Linked DNA regions of Saccharomyces cerevisiae S288C. The gene in region 2 interacts genetically with the main gene of each other region. Each region holds a gene or a part of one and is shown on either strand. Other genes may lie near its edges.

Region 1 (4,712 bases), on a different chromosome or scaffold from region 2:
ATTGCGTCAGTTAATTATTATTGAATAATATATGTAATAGTGTACACAAGTGTTTACAGTTTTTGTTTAGTCGTTTTAACCAAAGCTTCATTCTTGAACGAGTCGAAAGCCCGGTCAAACATCACCGCTCTTTCTTCAAGGGTCAATTGCGGAATGTGTGAGGACTGCAGCGGGGAGGTAAGGACAAACTCGTGGATGTGGTGATTAATCCTCTCGATCACCAGGTCCGGAGCCTCAACGTTGACCAAGTGGGAGCCGCCGGGAATGACATCGAGATGGTAGTTCTGTAGAGTTTTCTGCAAAAACAGCTGATTTTGCGGAGGACACCAGTTGGAGCGCGCGCCCACAATGTGGATAGTCCGCTTCCTCACAAACTTCACATTGCTGATCAGGAAAGGCGCAAAAGTCTGCATGTTCATGTAGCAGAGGAGATTTTGAGCCTGCTCCATCTTCGTGCGAACGGGTCCACCATCTTCATCGTCTCCAGAGGCTTTTGTCCTCTCAAAATCGATGATGTTTTGCAGGATTTGGCTGTGCGCATTGGTAAAAAAGGAACCGTTCCTCATATATTTTACATATTCGGACTCGTTAGCGAAATGGTCGCACGTCTTTAAACGTAGGGAGTTATAAAGATTTTCTGGGATCTGCGGAGAATCGGGCGGAAGCCCTGGCCTCCCGGCGCCGATGGCTTTCCGTGTGATTACTACAGGCTCGATCAAGATGAGCAAATGAAACAGATTGGGCTGCAGGACGTCACACGCAAGAGCCTGGAACCCGCCCATCGAGTGGCCGATGACTACGTTTAGTGCCGGGTGGCTGTCAATACTGCCCAACTCGCATGTGGCAATCTTGAGCACGTCGCGGGCCCCGTCGATCCAGTTGAAATTGGTGCCGAGTCTGCCGCGGTTGCGTACCGCAGAATCACCGTGGTTAACCTGGTCGATCAACAAAACCTTGTCGATGGCATAATTGCCCTCCGCATCGGCGGCTACCAGACGCGGCAAATAGTACTCCCATACCACCTTACTCATGCCGCTGCCGTGCAAAAACACAAGGTTAAGCCTAGTGGCAGTGCGAGAGCGGCGTTGCCGCTCTGCGCTAGTGTACACATCGTATGTGAGCTCGAGGCGATCTGTCGCACACAGCGTCGACTGCGGTGCGCGCGGCCAGCTAGCGCTACAAGTTTTCGTTTCTTTCTTGAACCTGTTCTGTTCCATTTTAGCCGCGGATGTTGATCGGCGGATACGCAGAGATAAGCAGAGTACGCACTAGTGAGCTTTTTTAGCACGCACATTACGCACTTTATATATATGCTAAAGGGTGCAGCAGCGGGCGCGGCTGCACTAACTCCGAGATTGCGGAGAAAAAACTCGTACTACCACATTAAGACGTCTCCACTTCGGTATCCGACTCGGGCTCCGTTTCGTCCGTGGGTTCTCCAGCAGATGTCGCCGGCACGGGTCGGTGTTGTTGCTTCTTGGTAGGCGACGACAATAGCATCAGTGTTTCGACAGCCGTGGCCTCCTCCCGTGGTGGGTGGCCTCCGAGCGCCTGAAGAAACGCTGTATGCGCGGAAGTACCCGCGTCTGCACTATCTGGAAATCTGTTGTGATAGCGACGTGGCGGCGTCTGCACTGCTGGAGCAAGCTCCGTCTCCAGCTCGGGAAGTGTCTTGTCCGTCCATCCATTTTGCAGCTTGACTAACGCGTAATTGAGCCTGGTGCGCAAAGTATGTGATATTTCGCGGATGGGCCGCTCGCCCGTAGACCGACGCGCAGCCGTCGGAGGTGACCTCAAACGCGGCGACGGCGACAGAAACACCTCCGACCGTCTTGACTTGGGCGTTGTCGGTGGCAACAAAGGCATACTAACGTGTCCGTCGTACTTCTTTTGATTTTCATTTTCTTCTTCATTTTCGTCGTCCTCACTCTCACTTTCGTGTCCGTCGTCGTTATGGTCATATACACGTCCATGTGCGGTTATGCCGACACGACGCTTATTGACGGGCGACATGAATATACCCTGAAGACTCGTTGTCGACGGCCTTCTTCTCGATTTAGTGATGCTTTTCGTTATGCCTGGTGGTGACGGCGGCGATGGTGTTCCAAAGCCATTTTTGAGACGTACTGGCGTGCTCAATAGAGTGGTTGGCCCAGGTCGCTGCTGATGCTCGTTGTTTACATGTGTATCTGGGTTCTGTACCTGCTCTTGTTCTTGTTCTTGTTCTTGTTCATCGCTAGTCCTGCTTCTCTTCGGCGTTCTCAAACTCATATTCTTCAATGTCTCTACTATTTTTCGTTGCTATTAATATCTGGTTGTGCTTTCTTCCATCAGGTTCTTTGCCTTGTTTTGCCTTTGTTTTGTTTTGTTTTGTTTTGTTTTTTTTATTTTTTTCGTTCTGCTCTTGAAGTTTTCGCTTCCCTTTTCCCCCTTCCCTTTAGCACCAGAAGTCATGAAACAATTAGTAAATCAAGAATTATCATTAAGGCAGCGCGAGGAATTATATAAAACAAAAAAAAATAAAAAAATAAAAAAAAAAAAAAATAAAATTCGAAAACAATAGGAGACAAAAGACATCATAAACAGCACAAGGAAGACGGTTCTGTTTCGTTGCTATGTCTAATACCTTGCCAGTAACAGAATTTCTTTTATCCAAATACTACGAACTTTCCAACACTCCTGCCACAGACTCATCATCGCTCTTCAAATGGTTATACCACAAGACTCTCTCCCGTAAACAGCTGCTCATATCCGATTTGTCTTCCCAGAAAAAACACGCCATCTCCTACGATCAATGGAATGACATAGCGTCGCGATTAGACGACTTAACGGGACTTTCCGAATGGAAAACAATCGACGAGTCCTCGTTGTATAACTATAAGCTGCTGCAAGACTTGACCATCCGTATGCGCCATTTGAGAACCACTCACGACTACCACCGCCTGCTTTATCTGATTAGAACTAAGTGGGTCCGTAATCTTGGCAACATGAATAACGTTAATCTTTACAGGCACTCGCATACCGGCACAAAACAAATTATACATGACTACCTAGAAGAGTCTCAAGCAGTGCTCACCGCGCTGATCCATCAGTCAAATATGAACGATCACTATCTCCTCGGTATTTTGCAACAGACGAGAAGAAACATAGGGCGCACGGCTCTCGTGCTTAGCGGTGGGAGCACTTTCGGCCTTTTCCACATTGGTGTTCTTGCCGCCCTTTTTGAATCGGACCTGATGCCTAAGGTGATCAGCGGTAGCAGTGCTGGCGCCATTGTTGCCAGCATATTTTGCGTCCACACGACCCAGGAAATTCCCTCCTTGTTGACCAATGTACTTAATATGGAGTTTAACATCTTCAATGACGACAATTCCAAATCTCCCAACGAAAACTTACTAATCAAGATATCGAGGTTCTGCCAAAACGGTACCTGGTTCAATAATCAACCTTTGATTAACACAATGCTTTCGTTTTTAGGAAACTTGACCTTTAGGGAAGCCTACAACAAGACTGGAAAAATCCTGAATATCACAGTCTCGCCTGCTTCCATATACGAACAGCCGAAACTACTAAACAATTTAACCGCTCCAAACGTTCTCATCTGGTCTGCCGTATGCGCATCTTGTTCTCTACCTGGAGTTTTCCCCTCCACGCCGCTATTCGAGAAAGATCCTCACACTGGAAAGATTAAAGAGTGGGGGGCAACAAATTTACATTTATCAAACATGAAATTCATGGACGGATCTGTAGATAATGACATGCCCATTTCTCGTCTTTCTGAAATGTTCAATGTCGACCACATTATCGCCTGCCAGGTAAATATACATGTCTTTCCCCTGTTAAAGTTTTCAAACACTTGCGTTGGGGGTGAAATTGAAAAGGAAATTACCGCCCGTTTCAGAAACCAAGTAACAAAGATCTTCAAATTTTTTTCCGACGAAACTATTCATTTTTTAGACATCCTAAAGGAGCTTGAGTTCCATCCCTATTTGATGACCAAATTGAAACACCTTTTTTTACAACAATACTCTGGCAATGTCACAATTTTACCCGATCTATCAATGGTTGGTCAATTCCACGAAGTATTGAAGAACCCATCTCAACTTTTCCTATTGCACCAAACTACTTTAGGTGCAAGAGCTACTTGGCCGAAAATTTCCATGATTCAAAATAACTGTGGCCAAGAATTCGCCTTGGATAAGGCCATCACATTCCTAAAGGAGAAAATAATAATCTCTTCGTCAATAAAAAACCCTTTACAATTCTACCAACCTCGATTCAGTGAGCAAATCAAATCTCTTTCCATAATGGATGCTGACTTGCCGGGAGTTGACTTGGAAGAATCCTCCTCCAATTCACTATCAATTATCAAGTCTCCCAACAAAACAGCGGCACCGGGAAGATTTCCTCTTCAGCCATTGCCTTCTCCATCTTCTACCTTCAACAAGAGGAAAATGGATATGTTATCGCCTTCTCCATCGCCTTCTACATCTCCACAACGTTCAAAATCTTCATTCACGCAGCAGGGTACAAGGCAGAAGGCAAATTCTTTATCGTTTGCCATCGGTGCATCTAGTTTACGGCTAAAGAAATCACCATTGAAGGTTCCATCACGACCTCAATTCAAAAAAAGATCTTCTTATTATAATCAAAATATGTCGGCAGAGATGAGGAAAAATAGAAAAAAATCTGGAACAATTTCCTCTTATGAT
Region 2 (5,788 bases):
GGACTTCCTTCTTTGGTAAAGGGGTTTCACGTTGGAAAAAGTTGCTGGAACACCGCGCTCCAATTGAGGCAAAACATATTCTCTCAATTTTTTGCTGAGCTCTTCTTTGTCTTGAAGGAAAGTTAATGGAATAAATTTGGGTGGTTCGCATCTTGGATAAAATTGTTCAAGTTTTCCATACAAAGCCTTCTTCAATTTATTGTCACCTTGGATTCCCAAGGATACTTCCAGTAATTTGTAGTACTTAAAATTATCTGGATTTCTCTTGATCAGAGTTCTATAAACAATGGACGCGTCTTTCAATTGACCCAATTTCATGTAAATAGTTGCTTTTCTCTCTAATAAACCAAATTTATCAAAGACGCATGGCTCGATATCATTCAAATGTTTCAATACATTTTGTAACTTGTCTTGGTTATCACTGGCAGCTTTATACATAATGTCGTTTTTGTACATTAAACACTCGCTGTGTTCATATTTCTCGGAATCAGATATTTTTCCCTCAGCGAGTTTTTCAAACTGAGATAAAGTGTTAATAGCTTGTTGCCTCTCACCGTTCACATCTTGTGCCACAGCCAATGATGTCCAGTTGGCACGGTAACCAAGGAATGCTTCCCAATATTTTTTCCTGGACACTAAAGCATTTTTGAAATCGCCAATTTGTGATTGCAAAGTTGCTAAGTCTCTATATATTTGCTTGTTAGTGGACCCATTGTTCAAAGCTGCCGTGAACCATTTAATAGATTCTTTGTACTCTTTGGTGTTTCTCATGTAGATACCTAATACATGACAGCAGATTGGTGATGCTGAAGCGCCTTCAATTTTTCTGATGGCATTAGCCACGTAGGAAGCAGCGTCATCTTTCTCACCTACAGAATATAAATCAAGACCCTTTAAAGCCAAGGAATCAACGTGACTACCGTCTTTTTTCAAAATTGCGTCTAGCAGCTTGAGAGATTTTTTGTATTGCTTCCCTTCGTATAGTTTCAATGCCTCGAGGAACTGGTCATTTTCTTTTTTCAAAGCTATTTTAGCTGCTGGCTTGGGCTTAGTACTTCTTTTCCTAGACATACTTCGTTAGGGTCAATCGCCTTCCTCAATGGTATTTGTCTTAAACAAGGAATCTGAACATCACTTTTTAAAAAGGTTTGACTTTTGAGTGTAGAAACTTTTTCATTTTCGCTCTTTCCTCTTTACTCTGTATTATGTTCTGTTTCGACGCGGAGCAGGGTAAAAAGTGCATACGCAACCCAGCGACCTCATTAGCAAGGTCATGCAATTTGGTGGCACATTTCAGGCCTATCATGTCTCCAGTTGTACAATAATGAAAATTTAGCAGTATTCCCCCTTTAAAAGATTAAATAGCGATTATATAATCAACTCAAAGAGTTTCCTTAGCAGTCCTCTCTCAATTTTGAATTGTCGAATGTCATGGCGTTCTCGAAGCACTTTGCATACTTCAAGGAGTGGACAGAAAGAGTCTGATAATAATAATTTTTTATTGAATCCGAAGATATTCTATAATCAAATTTAACTATTATTCTATGTAAAATCTATAATTGGTTTATATGGTATACGAACGAGAATGGCGTAGGGACATGAAAGATGGTAGAATGACTAAATGAAAGCTAGAGGAAGAGCGGCAGCGAGCCACACCAATTTTCCTACTGCTTCAATGTTTGCGCTGCCTTCCATGATTAATGAAATGCTGGCAGATGATGTAATGGCTCCTGTTGATACAGCAGCAATGGAATGCTTTGATGTGATAAATGCGTTAGTAGTGGTGGTCGTGAAGGAATTTGTATAATGAATGGCACTGGATTGACTAGAATAATCTTTAGTTGAGGTACCAGAAACACTTTCTAGAGAGGCAGCTGCAGAAATATTGTCCTCAATACTGTGATTCATTACGGAAGCAGTTGATTGAACGTTACTTATAGTAGACGTTGATGCAGGAGAAGTCATAAATGCAGATTGTTTGGTGATGGTAGTGTCTTTGGGACCCGAGTAATTTGGGTTCCCAACCTCAGACTGAATGTTAATGTTTGAAGTTACTAGTGTTGTATGGCGAGTCGAGTCAGTAACTCTACTGACAATATCGGTGACGCTTGCGTGAGCTGATGCATAAGTTCTATCTAATGTGATTGGATGAGCTGAGGAAGATGAGCCGACTAAACCATTTTCACTGGCTAGAGTCGTTGGGTCTGCTGAAGTTATGCTAGGATATGAAGATTTAGTTGATTGGAATGCGTCAACTACAGAAACAGAACTTTGGGTCTTCGAATCATTGCTGCTAACTGGCATATTAGGCTTGATTATACTTGTTGCGCTTGACCTACTCGAGGAAGCCGAATCAACTGGGGTTAAAGTTACAATCGAAGAACTTGAAGTGGCCGAAATTCCTTGCTGTCTAGAAAGGCTTAGACTTTCCGACGCAATTGGAATGCCCGTGGAAGTTGATCCGGTCGAAGCTGTTGGATATACTGGGCTATTCGAGACAGCGAAAGTGCTTGGGTCTACTTGAGATCTTTGAATGGATGAGACGCTCAAATCAGCTGAACCAGTTGAGGAAACCATATCAGTTAGACTAGATGATACTGTTTGGGTATCTTGGCTGGTTGAAGTGGTTGAAACCCTTAGAATGATTGTGTCAGAGAAAGTAGCTAGATCTGTTGAAGTAGTTGGACCACTTGGTCTGGTTGAATAAACTGAGGTTGAACTGACAATAAAACTGGTTGGTTCAGATGAAGTTGAACTAACTACAGAACTAGCTGGATCAATTGAGGCGCTACTGATGATAGTAGTTGCACCGCTTGAACTAACGATGGAGCTAACTGGATCAATTGAAGTAGTTTGAGCCGCTAAAGTAGCTGAACCGTTTGAATTAGCAGAAATAGTCACAGTGCTTGAGCTAGTTGGGTAAGATGAAGTTAAACTGACAACAGAACTAGCCGGATCAACTGGAGCGGAACTGACTACAGAACTAGTTGGATCAACTGAAGTAGTTTGAACGGTCGAGGTAGTTGAGTCAGCTGAAGTAGTTGGGTCTGCTGAAGTTGAACTGATAACAGAAGTGGTTGGGTCAACTGAAGTAGCAACGTCACTTGAGCTAGTTTGATCAACTGAGGTTGAAATGACTACAGAAGTAGTTGGGTCAACTAAAGTAGTCACAGCGCTTGAACTAGTTGGATCTGCTGAAGTAGCCACGTCACTTGAGCTAGTTGGATCTGTTGATGTGGTTACCTCGTCAGAGCTTCTTGTACGATACATACCAGCAACACTTGATGAGGCATGTGGACCAACTGTTGTAGTAGACTCAATTAAAGATGTAGAGTCCGTGGAAGTGGAAATCACGACAGAGATATTTAGACTTGTTGAAGTAGTAATATCGTTTGAACTGACGAGAGAAGTAGTTGGTTCAATTGAAGTGGTTTGAACGGTTGAAGTAATCACATCGCTCGAGCTAGTTGGGTCAATTGAAGTGGAACTAACTGCAAAAGTAGTGGAATTGGCCAAAGTGGAATTGCCGATGTTGTTACTTGGACCAGCTGAAGTGGTTTGAACGGTCGAGGTAGTTGAGTCAGCTGAAGTAGTTGGGTCTGCTGAAGTTGAACTGATAACAGAAGTAGTTGGGTCAACTGAAGTAGCAACGTCACTTGAGCTAGTTAGATCTGTTGATGTGGTTACCTCGTCAGAGCTTCTTGTACGATACATAGCCGCTAAACTTGATGAGGCGTGTGGATCATCCGATGTAGTATACTCAATTGAAGATGTAGAGTCTGTGGAAGTAGAAATGGTAACAGAGCTACTTGGATCAGCTGGGCTAGTTTGAACGGCCGAAGTAGTTGAATCAGCTGGAGTAGTTGGGTTAATTGAAGTAGTCACAGCATTTGAACTAGTTGGGTCTGCTGAACTTGAACTGATAACAGAGCTACTTAGATCAGCTGAACTTGAACTGACTACGGAAGTAGTTGGATCAGCTGAAGTAGTTTGAACGGTCGAGGTAGTTGGGTCAGCTGAAGTAGTTGGGTCAACTGAAGTAGTTGGATCAACTGAAGTAGAACTGACTATAGAACTAGTTGGGTCAACTGAAGTAGTTGGATCAACAGAAGTAGTTTGAACGGTCGAGGTAGTTGGATCAGCTGAAGTATTTGGGTCAACTGAAGTAGTTGGGTCAACTGAAGTAGTCACAGCGCTTGAACTAGTTGGGTCTTCTGAACTTGAACTTACTACTTAAGTGGTTGGATCAACAGAAGTAGTTTGAATGGTTGAACTGGTTACATCGCTTGAACTACTAGAGTCACTTGAAGTGAAACTGCTGAAAGGACTAGTTGAAGCTGCTAATGTGGTGACATCAGTAGATGTTCTTGAACGATAAATATCGGCTACGCTTGATGAAGTATGTGAGTCAACGGAAGTAGTAAAATCAATGGATGTAGTGGAAGAGCTTTTCACAGTAGATGACGTAGTAGTGGAAGTTTTCGTAGAGGATGAAGTAGTAGAGGATGAAGTAGTAGAGGATGAAGTAGTAGAGGATGAAGTAGTAGAGGATGAAGTAGTAGAGGATGAAGTAGTAGAGGATGAAGTAGTAGAGGATGAAGTAGTAGAGGATGAAGTAGTAGAGGATGAAGTAGTAGAGGATGAAGTAGTAGAGGATGAAGTAGTAGTGGATGAAGTAGTAGTGGATGAAGTAGTAGTGGATGAAGTAGTAATGGATGAAGTAGTAATGGATGAAGACGAGGCTTTTGTACAAGTGCCATCATTGTTTCCCTTGCACTGGTAGGTCCAATAAAATCCAGGGAAATCCGTTTGTGAGTGGCCTTGATTGTCATAATTGTTACAACCTGTCGATAAATCGAAGGTGGTTGTCCCCCATTGCCAAGTTTGCCAGTACTGAGCAGCATCACCTTGTAGATATTCGAACTGGATTTGGAAATTTGGCATCCAAACTGTGCAACCGTCAGAAGAAGGGTAAGCATAAACCTGAAAAGTGGATGTAAAATCTGTTGGATCACTGATTAGGTATGTCTTCTCATTTTTGCCGTAAAGTTGTACGGTGCTTGAGGGACCGTTGACACCAATAATCTTTAAAGACCATAAATATTTCAAAGGGATATCTTTTACGGCTTTGACATGAATAGTAATCTGGTATGTGTTATCCTTGACCCATGATACGGAAGTAACATCCATATCATAATGTAGTATATTCTGTTGGCTCATGTGCCAGTTGAAATCCAAATTTGGACAACCATTGATAGCAACGCTTTCGTCTCTTTTGCTTAGATCAAATGAAGGGCTCACCTTGTCATCAATTCTATCAGCAGTCGCTGAATTTGTGAGCAAGGCCGCAAATAGGAGGCAAAATGATATTAGTAGTTTTCTTATGAATGATGTGGATACCTATTTTACACTTTTGCAACAAGGGGAGGAAAATTGCCAAGACCATCATGACATTGGAGGAAGTGATTTGCTTCTCTTAAATATAAAATAATTAAACGATCATGGAGATGCAGCGAACTAATGTGAAAAATTTTTCTTTCCAGTAGTATCGGTTATTCTGTAAGCATAGAATCGGGTATTAGTGGCTTGTTCCGAGCTTTTTTTCTTTGCCAATAAGAAAACAAGTAAAATGCAACGTGCAAATGCTGATCTGATCTCGCCTGGGCCAGTTTTATCGTCATGTGCGCGTGTAGGCACGAAAAAAAAGAAAAGACCGCTACCTCTCCTTCTAAAATGACAGGAGGAGAATATAAGGTTTGGCAGCCCCTTGAAAGAGCCGCAGGAACCA
Region 3 (6,035 bases), on a different chromosome or scaffold from region 2:
AAGAGTACTTTCAAACCGCCAGCAGAATTACAAGAATTTATTTCTGAGGCAAGATCAAAAGGAAAAAAATTGGTTTATATCGGGTTTGGTTCGATTGTAGTCTCTAATGCCAAAGAAATGACGGAAGCTCTTGTCGAAGCAGTTATGGAAGCAGATGTATACTGCATTTTAAATAAGGGATGGTCAGAAAGGTTGGGCGATAAGGCGGCAAAGAAGACAGAGGTAGATCTTCCAAGAAACATTTTAAATATCGGAAACGTTCCCCATGATTGGTTGTTCCCACAAGTCGATGCTGCCGTTCACCATGGTGGTTCTGGAACTACTGGAGCTTCATTACGTGCTGGTTTACCTACTGTTATAAAACCTTTCTTTGGTGATCAGTTCTTTTATGCAGGTAGAGTAGAAGACATTGGAGTTGGTATTGCTTTAAAGAAACTTAACGCTCAAACATTAGCAGATGCTTTAAAAGTAGCTACGACGAACAAAATAATGAAGGATAGAGCTGGATTAATAAAGAAGAAAATTTCCAAAGAAGATGGGATTAAAACTGCAATAAGTGCAATTTACAACGAACTTGAGTATGCAAGAAGCGTTACTTTATCAAGAGTGAAAACTCCGCGCAAGAAAGAGGAAAATGTAGATGCAACCAAACTGACACCTGCTGAAACAACGGATGAAGGGTGGACGATGATTTAAACCGAGTATCACTCTCACTTTTATAAAAAAGCGTAACATCTAATCATTAATAGTAATAAATAATTAATTTTTTTTTTGTAAGTTTCAGTCATATTTGTACTCAGGAAAGATATGAAAACGATAATGTTGATAATAAGAATAATAGTAACAATAATAAAAAAGTAAAAAAATAAAGCTTAATTTGAGTTTCCTAAACGTACCGTATGTTGTGCATCTAATATTAATTTAATGTGTATAAAGGCGTACAAGGAGCTTTAAAAAAAAACTGTTTGTGTAAATTACATTGGGCATCATTTAAATTATAGAATACACAATTTCATATTCAGCAAACATAATGCGATAATTAATTGTCTTCCAACACATACCATAACTGTGGCATAGAAAAGTGATTCCATACTGCGGCAACTTCTTATACTTCCCGGGCAACACTATTGTCCAAATCTATCACTCCCCCTTTTCCTTCCTCGTCCTGCTGTTCGGCAAGCAGCGCATTTAGTTCACTATTAGGAATGGCGATTAGATCTCGGAATGAACCGGTTTCAACCACTGAGCCATGTTTTCCTAACACAATCACCCTAGTACTGTGTTTGATCGTCGAAAGCCTATGTGCAATTGATATAGTAGTGAACCCCCTTTCCACACGTCTCTGAAGATTTTTGGCAACTATTTCTTCACTTTGAGAGTCAAGGGCACTGGTTGCTTCATCTAAAATAAGGACGGCAGGATCTAGTAAAAACGCTCTAGCTAATGCAATTCTTTGCTTTTGACCACCGGACAATTGCGCGCCTCTAGCACCAACCATAGTCTGCAATCCATCTGGAAAATTGGCCAAAAATTTTGTGCAATTAGCTTTTCCAATAGCACGTCTAATACGATCATCCTGCTCCGCAATTTCAGGCGGAATGCAGTAGAGGATATTGTCCAGAATAGTCCCATTGAAAAGTAGTGGTTCTTGTTGCACGTATCCTATTAGTCTTCGATACTTCCTCAAGTTGAAATTTCTGATGTCTTCATCACCAAATTCGATCGATCCTGAGTTCACATCGTAGTACCTGAGCAACAAAGACGCAATTGTTGATTTGCCGCTTCCTGATGGACCGACAGCGCAAACGTGTTCACCAGGCTTGATAGTAATATTCAAATCCTTGAAAATCTGGTGTTTGGGCCGAGTGGGATAAGTGAATGACACGTTTTTGAAAACGATGGGTTTTTGGGCTAATGACACAGGATCCTTTCCAATAGTCGGACGAATCAATGGCTTACGGTCATTTAATTCAAAAACCCTGGCAGCCGCACCAGCACCTTTCATAAGTTCTGAATAGAAGCTCGATAAACCAAATAATGAACTTCCGGTATACACGGCATACATCATGAAACTAGATAATTCACCGACAGTCATTGAACCACTTTGAATCATGCTTGTTCCAACCAATAATAACGACAGCATTGCAGTGTTGCCAACTAGCCCAGTACTTCCGAAGAATAAACCGGAAGTAACCGCTTCCTTCAGACCAATATGAAATACATTTCTAACCTCTTTTGCATAGCGGCGAACCTCGTTTTTTTCACCACCATATGCTTGAATTGTCCTAGTAGCATTTAATTGCTCTTCTGCCACTTTTGTTAACCCACCTACTGAGGTTTGTAACTGTCTTGATAGGTTTCGTATTTTCCTACCATATATCAGTGCCATAGCACCTAAAGGAGGGGCTAAAATCATCATTACGCAAGTCAATTTCCACGAGAGGAAGCTCATCATGCCAAAACCGACAAACCCTTGAATAATTGCCCTTGTTCCATCAGAGACGTTTTGTGTGACCGATTTGGCCACTATAGATGCATCAGATGATAATCTTGAGATCAAATCACCGACACGATTAGTATCTAAAAATGTGGCATCTTGATCTAATGCAGCTTTCATTGTTCTCGTTCTTAATCTTGCGACCAGTCTCTCACCGGTGACCTTTAAAATGATGATTCTGCTTGCATTAGCAACTGCTCCAATTATAAATACTGCTCCTAATGCTGTGAAAAATTGCTTCTTCGTAAAACCATATAACTTATTGCTTTTTGAGCCCTCTTCATCTTCGCCGTCACTTTCGGAAGCCAAGTCTAATAATTTACCGATAACGGAAGGTACAGCCATACTAACTGAACTTGAAATGAGGATTAAAAGGAGGGCAAGACCAATGTACTTGGATTCCGGTTTAGATAAGACGAATAGCCGTTTAATGTCTTTAAACCCCGAGGATTTTGAATTTGCATTGGACAACTTTAAAGTGGGCTTGGTGGACTTCTTTCCTTGCGCAATGTCTGATTGTAATCGAATCGACCGCAACAAAAAGTGCTTTCTATGTGGAATAATCAAATTAATTTCCGCTTTTTGGTACATGGGAGGTTTGAACAATGACTTGGTTGAATATAGTGCACTTGCTGATGCGAATTGACTTCGCAACAACTTTGGACCTTTACAAAGACGTATCATTCTTACAATCATTGGAGCCCTTCCTCTTCTTTAACTTAGTAAAATTTCAATGATCTGCTTCTCATGTAAGTACCCACGTCTGCTTAGTTGAATCTAGTTGCATGTTGGGCAATACTGAATACGTAACATATATACAAAGCATTTGTGATTCTGAAGTCTCGGCTCGATGCGCCTAAACGAAACGCGACGCCAGTAATATAATACCTGTTAATGAAGATTTGTTTAGCTTAAAAGCAAAGGTAAAGAGATAAATAAGGGTATAGAGGTATATTATAGTCGTATTAAAAAAATAATACATTTATGGGAAGTTATATAAAACTACTGAATTGTAAAAAAAAAAAAAAGAAAAGATGAAATATAAATGAATCAGCTGGAATATGGGTTGGTTGATGTGCTATTGGGAGGCATAAATTGAGAAAATCCACTTTGTGCAGTAAGCGGATTTGTGCGGTTAGTGGTATTTATATGGAGGCTGGGACGGCCATCTGGTACATGGTGCTGTGTTTGCGGTATTGGAGATCTATCATTTATTGGTAACTTATTATTCAAATATCTCATATTTTGAGGCTGTTGTTGCAGTTGCGGCGATGGATGGAATGTATTTTGATTGTTACCACTTCCATAGGTATTGTTTCTGAAGGAAAGTGATTGGTTTTGGCGCTGTTGCGACGAATGAAACCGATGTTGCGAAGATTGGAAAGAATACATTGATGAGTTTCCACCTTGTTGCATAGGCTGGACGGTCAGCGGACCCGTTCTTATCTTACCTAACGGGCGACCAACCGGGTATGGTGCTTGAGGCTGCGAGCTATTGGCTGAAGAATTTCTGTAACCAAATGACGAAGTTTGTGGTCCTTTCACATGAAGTGGTTGAGATTGTTGAGGTTTGTTTATTTGATCACCAGAGAAATCTTCCCTATCCTGATAGTTTCCTCCATTCGAAGTAAGCTGGTTTAAGTTTGTAAATAAAGAAGAATGTGGGATCTTGTCATTTCTGTCACTGGCAGAAAGGGTTTCAGTTACTGTTCGGTTGGTTTGCCCATTGCTATAATTACTGGATGCTGCATCCTGATTATCTGAAAAGTCAAACTCATCCGTAGTGTACCTACTTTCTGTTTCCAACATTTGGTTTTGTTCCATATAATCTGGATCAAATACGTTTTCCTCCCCAAAATCCGGCACACGTTGTTCTTCATTGAGATTGACCGATGAACTGTTATTGATATTCAAGTTCAGGTCCGTAACAAAAGAACTGTTTTCTGCTGTGTCACTTAAAGCTTCTGAAGAAATATTTGCCATTCCCATATTGCTAATCTTTTGAGATAACTCTTCAAACTCTTTCAAAGATCCCAGGTCCTCATTTTTTGAACGTCTACTATCTTCTACCCTCAAAGGCGAAGAAAGGGAAGTATTTATCGTACTTTTCGACTCTCTGACGTTACCTATTTCAAATGTCTTGCTTTCAGCGGATGTACCTACGTATCTCTCATAGGGGCTTCTGTTTTCATTTTTTGACCGATCTTTAACTTCCAATTTTTGAGGTTTAGGGCTTGAATTAGCCTCCGATTTACCAAACGGAGATGTGGAATATTTGTCGTAAAGGGCGGATAATTCGGCTGCATTGGCGAGGTGAATATGTTTGTCTTCTGGTGTCGTAGAGAATTCGTTAGCAGATTTCGCTTCAACGTCTTCCATATTTTCCAAATTTGAATCAGTGATTTTGAGTTTTAATCCTGAACCAAAGCTTCTCTCTGAATTTTCATGGTTGAGCATTCCTGATGTCATTGGGGTGGTAAAAGTATCTTTGAAGTTAGTAGTGACACTGGACTGCGCCGACACAGAGTCATTGATTTTTGAAGAATTATCAGTCACAAATAATTCAGTTTGTTTTACTGAGGTAGCATGTGAGTTTACGGAAGCAGAAGCGGAATTAATATCATCGGTCGATGCTAATGTAGGAGACTTCATCTTAGATTTTTGCGGACTTTCCATTTGTCTTTCAGGGAGAGAATCGTACCCTTCAAATAATTCAGCTGAACTAATTGCCGGCGACTTCATCATCCCAGATGAAACTGATACAGTTTTATTACCACAGCCTTTATAGCCCTTACTTAATTTTTTCTGTAATACTTGAACAATGTTATTCCTCCAATCAGCAGCACTCCAATGTATGTAATTTTTGTCTTTTGTTAATGATAAAACGTCATCCACCTGCAAATAATATATATGCGGAAGAGTGGGTAAGGCAAACAGCAGGGAGTCTGGGTCAGTTCTGTTGGCAATCAAACCCTTTGGCCTACCATATAAGTAGAACGCGTTCATAGCTGGGATTAAGAAGCGAATAATAGTGTCATATCCCGGAACACCTTGATGCTTTTCAGGCATGATAAATAGGTTGGTTTCTTGAGGTTCCTCACTTTTGTCAAAAGAGACAAAACCTTCCAATTTTATGATTGTAGATGTGTCGATTAATATCGGCGAGGAAGGATAAACGGCATATAAAGCCCGTGCATCTACTACCGTTGTCATTATGTTTGATTTTTTGGTTTTTTTGTTATTTTCATAGAAACATATTGAACCTTTCGAATTTTTCTTTTTTTTGCCAGACTGTGGAGAAATAACAGCATAACAACGTTTCCATGGCATACCTGTCCCGAATCTTACGCTAACCCAGTCCTCATAAGTGAATTTTGTATCTGCCATAACAACTTTGATATCACCAAGTTTAACACCTCTGCTTGACAAAAATGAGCCCGTGTAGGCCTCTTGCAACGCCGTAAACTCGAACAAACTAAGCCTAATTGCTGCGTTCCAAGTTTTGAATGATTTTGAATTTTTGAATTTTAAGAAATAC
Region 4 (5,507 bases), on a different chromosome or scaffold from region 2:
TGGAGACACGATCAGAATTTAATTCCGGTGTAGTGAGTAGATCATGATACAGCCCCATTGCTCTACCTATAGAATCCCAAAATAATGGATTAGCGTTAGAATTTGGATGTTCTGAATGGTGTTTCATGTTTTGACGCCTTGGAGTTTGTGACATATAAAGAGTCTGTGAAACGCAATCTTCGAAGGCACAAACCTTATGAAACCATGGGGAGTCTGGGCTAATTGAATTACCTTGATTGGAGTTATTATACTTGCTATGATTATGGTTATTTTGATGATGGTTACGATTGTTATTGTGGTGATGATTACGGTTATTGTTATGATGGTTGTTACTATTATTGCTGTTATTCTGAGCTAGATGATTGTTGTTGTTGGCTCCAATGTTGCCACCAAAGTGAGGAACAAAATGGTTGGCTGGGCTTACCTGATAAGTAGCGAGGGCTGGATTGTTAAAAGTAGCAGGCGTGTAAGGAATGGCATAGTTGTGTTCATGGTGCTCCATAGCGATTGTACCGTTAAATTTCATTGGATGAGTCAGCGAATTCTTTGTCGGATGTGGAACAAACTGGTTTGGGGGTTTGCCCTTCAGTACTTGTGTTTGCTGAGCTAAACGGATCATAGGATCAGATTTGCAAGATAGAAAAGCAATTAGAGTAAGAAATATCAAGCTAATCACACGTTTTTAAAACCTCGATCCAACTATAGAACGTACTGTATTCAAGAAAAAAAACTGAGAGAAGAATGAAAGGAAAAGGGTTTCTATAGATATAACCAATGCGATATGTAACTTCAGTGCTGAACGACAAAGTTTCTTTATTGCCTTATTTTGACTTTCTTCGAGATGTCCATGGCATAACTTGAGCAAGGTTGAAAAAATTTTCTTTTCTTTTTTTCTCCGAAAGAAACCCGTTTCTTTTGGTGCACACACAAAGCTCGTGCAGAGTGCTGTCCTCTGAGAAATTACCGCAGAATCAGAGGATCTATGAAATTGCCTCTCTTGTACGAGCAGTTCACTGCAGGCACTCGTCCCTTCACACGGAAAAACAATATGGGAAAAGTTGCCTGAAAGTTTAAGCTTTTTTACATATTATCAAGGCAAGAAAAGAAGAGAAATTTTTCGAGAAAATGAACAACGAAGCAAACAATATGAAGAGGACTGCTGCTATTTTTCCAGTTAGGTACCATGTGGCATGCTGTTTTTCCGCAGTTCGTTATGTAAGGTGGAAGGCGGTGGTGTGTGAGACATGCCCTGTGAGACATTGGAAACTCATGCGTACAGAAAGTGAAACTAGCTCAATTGGTTGAGTTTTTTGATGGTATACGCCTGATGTTTTTTTCGACAACAGGTGAGTGAAATAAAACGAAGAGCAAAAAAAGAAGAAGAAATTTAAGAAAAAAAAAAAAAAAAAGGGAAGAAAAACGGAGCTACCCAATATCGGAAGATTCGTAAAGGCCGCCATATACACAATAGGGGCCCTTCGTTATATGTGCTCGAGCCTCTGGATATCGACCAGAATGAGCAGACGCCTACGAAACTGGTCAAGGCTTCAAGTAAAATTGCTGGAATCTGTTAACACTTTTAAAAGAACACAGTTCTTGACTTACTTTTGGTCTATGCATAGGTATTATATAATACGAGGTAGTAAAATGAGAAAAAAAGAAAAAAAAAGTCAATTGAGTATGGGCATGAAGTTACCCAAGATCATGAGGGGCAAACCAGAGACATCTCTTTTTAATGTCCACATACAGCAACAATGAATTATCTTGCCCTTGATGGGGCTTAAGAGCCTGCAAACTTTCATCTTCTCAGATCCTCTGAAGTCCCTATATGCAACTTTAGAGAGCGTTTTGAAGTAATCGCGTACACTTTCATCGTCCATGATCTCTACGATAAAAGTCATCTTGTTTAGTAGCTCCTCTCTTGTCCATCCGCATAGAATTTCAAATTCCTCGTTGACATAAGAAATTTGACCATTTCTTCGCCAAATACATGTCGGGGTACCGATTTGTGCAATAAATTTTACATATTCTAATAGAGTTCTTTGGTAGCATTGCTCCATAAAAATCATGTCCTCCTCGGTTAAAGTTACAGAACACGCAATGAAAATGGGCCGGAATTCGGCAATGGACCGACACATCTTCACCAGATCCTGCTGGTTGAATCGATGCTTTAGGTACACCAAAAGATGGTGGAATCCAGGTGTATGCGAAAAGGGGGCATTTATGGAGGTGTATATTTCCATTGGAGTAGAATAACGTAATGAATGTTCCCATTCTACATTGCTCTTGATGTTGGCAGCGTCTGGTGAACAGCTTTCCAGGGATACAGAGACCAAATGGTTTTTCCTCCGCTTTAAGGGGATAGCCAACTCGGGAAATGTTACCGTTTCGCTGTTCAAGTAATATTGGTTTATGCTTGAGTCCCAATTAATTTGGGAGCTCTTTTCAGATGGGTCCCGTGGCAATAATCTTTTAAAGTTTAAGGAATTATCAGCTGAATCAACGGGCACTAAGGGGAAATGGTTCGCGAAAAGATTAACTTGCGAAGCTACAATCTTGGCTGAATTTGGTCCCAGTAGAATAGAATAAACGTTTTGATTGGAAGATGGATACGGATGTGGGGGTATGTTTGCTCGCTGTTCGCTGTACAACTGGCGAATTTTCTCCATTTCTGTTTCTTCAGGGCTTGTATTTGTGCCCGTAGGGCTATTGTTACTGCTATTGCCTATTGTGGAGTTGGATGTGGAATTGGTGTTGGAGTACAGGATGTCAATAGGGATCTTGTTAGACAATGTGTCTTGATAGATGATATTCGACAGAATAGAGTACTCGGAATCTGCAGCATTCGATAGGAATTTAGCTTTGTGAACTATATGTTGTGGGCTGGTGAATTTTTGCTGTTCTCCCATGTTATTTACGTTGAGGCTACTATTGCTGGAGTTGTTATAAATGGGTATCATGATCTTGCGGGGTGGAAGGTCCGGTTGTATGTTCATTGGGAGCTCTCTATTCGGTATTCCAGCCAAGTACTTGCTTTTCTTTCTTGGAGCGTCAACGCATGTAGCCGTGAGGCCCTTGCTGATACATCGTAAGCATGGCCTTTTGGCCTCACATGACACATGCAATCTCGAACAGTTCACGCATGCCACGTTTGTGTTTTTTCTCTTTTTTCTCTTCTTTTTTTCGAGAGTATGATTTGTATTTGCAGATGTATCTGGGTCAGTTGATGTTTTGTAATCGTTTTCATCTGGAGTGCACATCACGATGATTCATCAATGTATTTTATTTTTATACCTTCGTGTGTCTGTTGTACCCAAAAGAAATGATAAAAATAGCTCAAGAGTATCCTGACTTTATATAACTAGCAATTTTATCTAAGAGAGTAATGCCGTTGCACCGGCTCTTGTTTAGTTTTTTTATGTGGTTACTCTTTTACAATATACTAAAATTGCAACTCATTTGCTTTTTTCATTTCTTTTCCTTCAATTTTTTTTTTTTTTTAGTCTACGGCTAACAAAAAGCATAGGCTCAGAATGATAGATAGATATCCGATAAATGTCAGTAAAGACAAAGAAATCAGTAAAATAAACGTTTCACCCTGGCAGATAGGAAACCCTATCTCCCAGTGATAAACTTTAATTTTTTTTCGTGCATATATATATATACATATATAATATAAAACAAAATATCATGAATTTCTATCTAAAGTAGTGGGAAAAAATATGTCGTTAAAAATGGGTATAATATCCAAGCAAAGCTTTTGGCTTTTTTTTTCTTGAAATGAGTGAAGGGAAGGCTCAATAAGCCTAGTCCTGCATGGCATATACATCCTTGTAAAATTGTTGATTACACTTCAGTTGTAGCTGCCAGTACCGCAGTTGGGAACATGAAAGTGTGGTATCTTGACATGAGCAAAGTTGTTGCAATATTGTATCTTTCCAACTATTCACTAGGCGCTCCGTGACCAAGACATGTAACTCCGACGTAAGCTCGTCCTGGTAGGGATCCTCGAATAAGTCGGCATTCCCTAGCAATCCATTACAATGGTACAGGACGTCTAAATCTTGTGTATTGTTTATGATAAAGTTGACCAGCGGATACATCGAAAATCTCAATAGCTTTTGCTGGAGAAACCACACTCTTAGAAGCTTTGTCAAGTTGGGGCAGGTATATCCATGAATGATGACCAGCATTGTTATAGCTATGGATTGCCAATCGACACAACTCCAACGAGCGATGCACTCTTTGAACAGGCACGAGGCCATATTGATGTCCGGGTCGTCAATTATTTTCCCAAGGAAGCGTATGAATTCCGTGGTCAACGAGTTCCTCATCTTATTGATGAACCACGTCGTGTATTCTTGTCGGTTCAATATCATGTTCCCGTAGCAATTAAACCATAGGATCCCGAAAATTTTGCCTTGGATAATATCGATCAAAGAGGTGCTGTCTTCTGGCGGCGATGACAGCGCTGCAGTAGTGGTTTCCTCTGCTGACGACATCGAATGACCCGGCGACGGCAGCTGATCTGTAAGAGCAGAGGTAACTGCAGCCGGATTGGCCCTGAAAACTGAGTAAGGCCCGTGTTTGGAGCAATTGAGGTTGACCACAGATATGTCGTTTTCCACCATATTAAGCAATTCGTCCAACTTCTTGTCTATGCGCTTTTGAGTATAATCTCTATTTGTCATGCTACCAAAGACAGAGGCCACAGCGTTATTGTATATCTTCAATCTCCGTACGCTTATGGTGAATGTATTATCGTTAGGAAGCGTAGTTTCCTTACTTGCCTCGTGCACGCTGTCTTCGCAGTCACTTGTCGGGGGTGATAGTTGTCTAAAATGGGTCATTTGTTTAAACCTTGATTTTGAGATTTTCTGGCACAATGGTTTCGATTTCGATTTGCGAGCCTGTAATGAACTGATCAGTGAATGCTTGCGTACTTTGTAGATGTTCTCCTCTAACCACATAAGTCTGATATCGTAACTACAATTATCTCCATGTTTGGCACACAGTGAACAGATTGGTCTATTCTCGTCGCATCTGCGTTTCTTGAATCTGCATGCCCAGCACCCAGTAAATGTCCTCCCCTTGGTGGGGGGCACTTTGGAGGATGACGCTACTTTCTTGCTTCTCTGCTGCCTCTTACTATTGACCATTTGGTTCTAGTGCGGATATATATATAGGCTATATATATACGTGGTGAAATGAAATGAAAACGCTTTTAAAGTGTGCAGAAATTGTTATAGCTCTAACCCGTAGTATTAGTTCCCCATATAATTCCGACCGAGAAAGGTGCACCCACTTGTCATACAAATTGTACATATATATATATATATATATATATATATATATATATGTATATATTATACCTGCAAGCAATTGCACGCGAGTACTCTGCGTGAGTCAAAAGACTGTGGTAAAATGGTACCCATCTGATGCAGGAATTCCGACTCTTTCAAGCTAAATGCCGTTTCATTTTGGCACGGATGCATTCGCAGATTGGT

The links.
Region 1: mutations in PRM7 (region 2) and WHI5 together harm fitness more than expected from each alone (negative genetic interaction), as found in Saccharomyces cerevisiae (2 studies listed by BioGRID).
Region 3: mutations in PRM7 (region 2) and MDL1 together harm fitness more than expected from each alone (negative genetic interaction), as found in Saccharomyces cerevisiae (2 studies listed by BioGRID).
Region 4: mutations in PRM7 (region 2) and ERT1 together harm fitness more than expected from each alone (negative genetic interaction), as found in Saccharomyces cerevisiae (2 studies listed by BioGRID).

What each region holds. Positions count from the first base shown.
Region 1 is NC_001147.6:477,092-481,803, reverse strand, and holds WHI5 (transcriptional repressor WHI5), read right to left. Parts: upstream 2,272-4,712; coding exon 1,384-2,271; downstream 1-1,383. Other genes in the region: LPX1 (triglyceride lipase), read right to left, coding at 54-1,217; TGL5 (triacylglycerol lipase), read left to right, coding at 2,616-4,712. UniProt on the Saccharomyces cerevisiae protein: Transcriptional repressor that negatively regulates G1-specific, SBF- and MBF-dependent transcription. Binds via SBF to promoters of G1-specific genes to repress transcription in early G1.
Region 2 is NC_001136.10:380,368-386,155, forward strand, and holds PRM7 (pheromone-regulated protein PRM7), read right to left. Parts: upstream 3,715-5,788; coding exon 1,618-3,714; downstream 1-1,617. Other genes in the region: peptide alpha-N-acetyltransferase complex A subunit NAT1, read right to left, coding at 1-1,071; BSC1 (Bsc1p), read right to left, coding at 4,234-5,220.
Region 3 is NC_001144.5:525,458-531,492, reverse strand, and holds MDL1 (ATP-binding cassette permease MDL1), read right to left. Parts: upstream 3,194-6,035; coding exon 1,106-3,193; downstream 1-1,105. Other genes in the region: ATG26 (sterol 3-beta-glucosyltransferase), read left to right, coding at 1-696; SKG3 (Skg3p), read right to left, coding at 3,548-6,035. UniProt on the Saccharomyces cerevisiae protein: Mediates export of peptides with molecular masses of 2100 to 600 daltons generated upon proteolysis of mitochondrial inner membrane proteins.
Region 4 is NC_001134.8:696,684-702,190, forward strand, and holds ERT1 (Ert1p), read right to left. Parts: upstream 3,261-5,507; coding exon 1,671-3,260; downstream 1-1,670. Other genes in the region: YBR238C (uncharacterized protein), read right to left, coding at 1-619; THI2 (Thi2p), read right to left, coding at 3,807-5,159. UniProt on the Saccharomyces cerevisiae protein: Transcription factor which regulates nonfermentable carbon utilization. Activator of gluconeogenetic genes like PCK1. Involved in restriction of Ty1 transposition.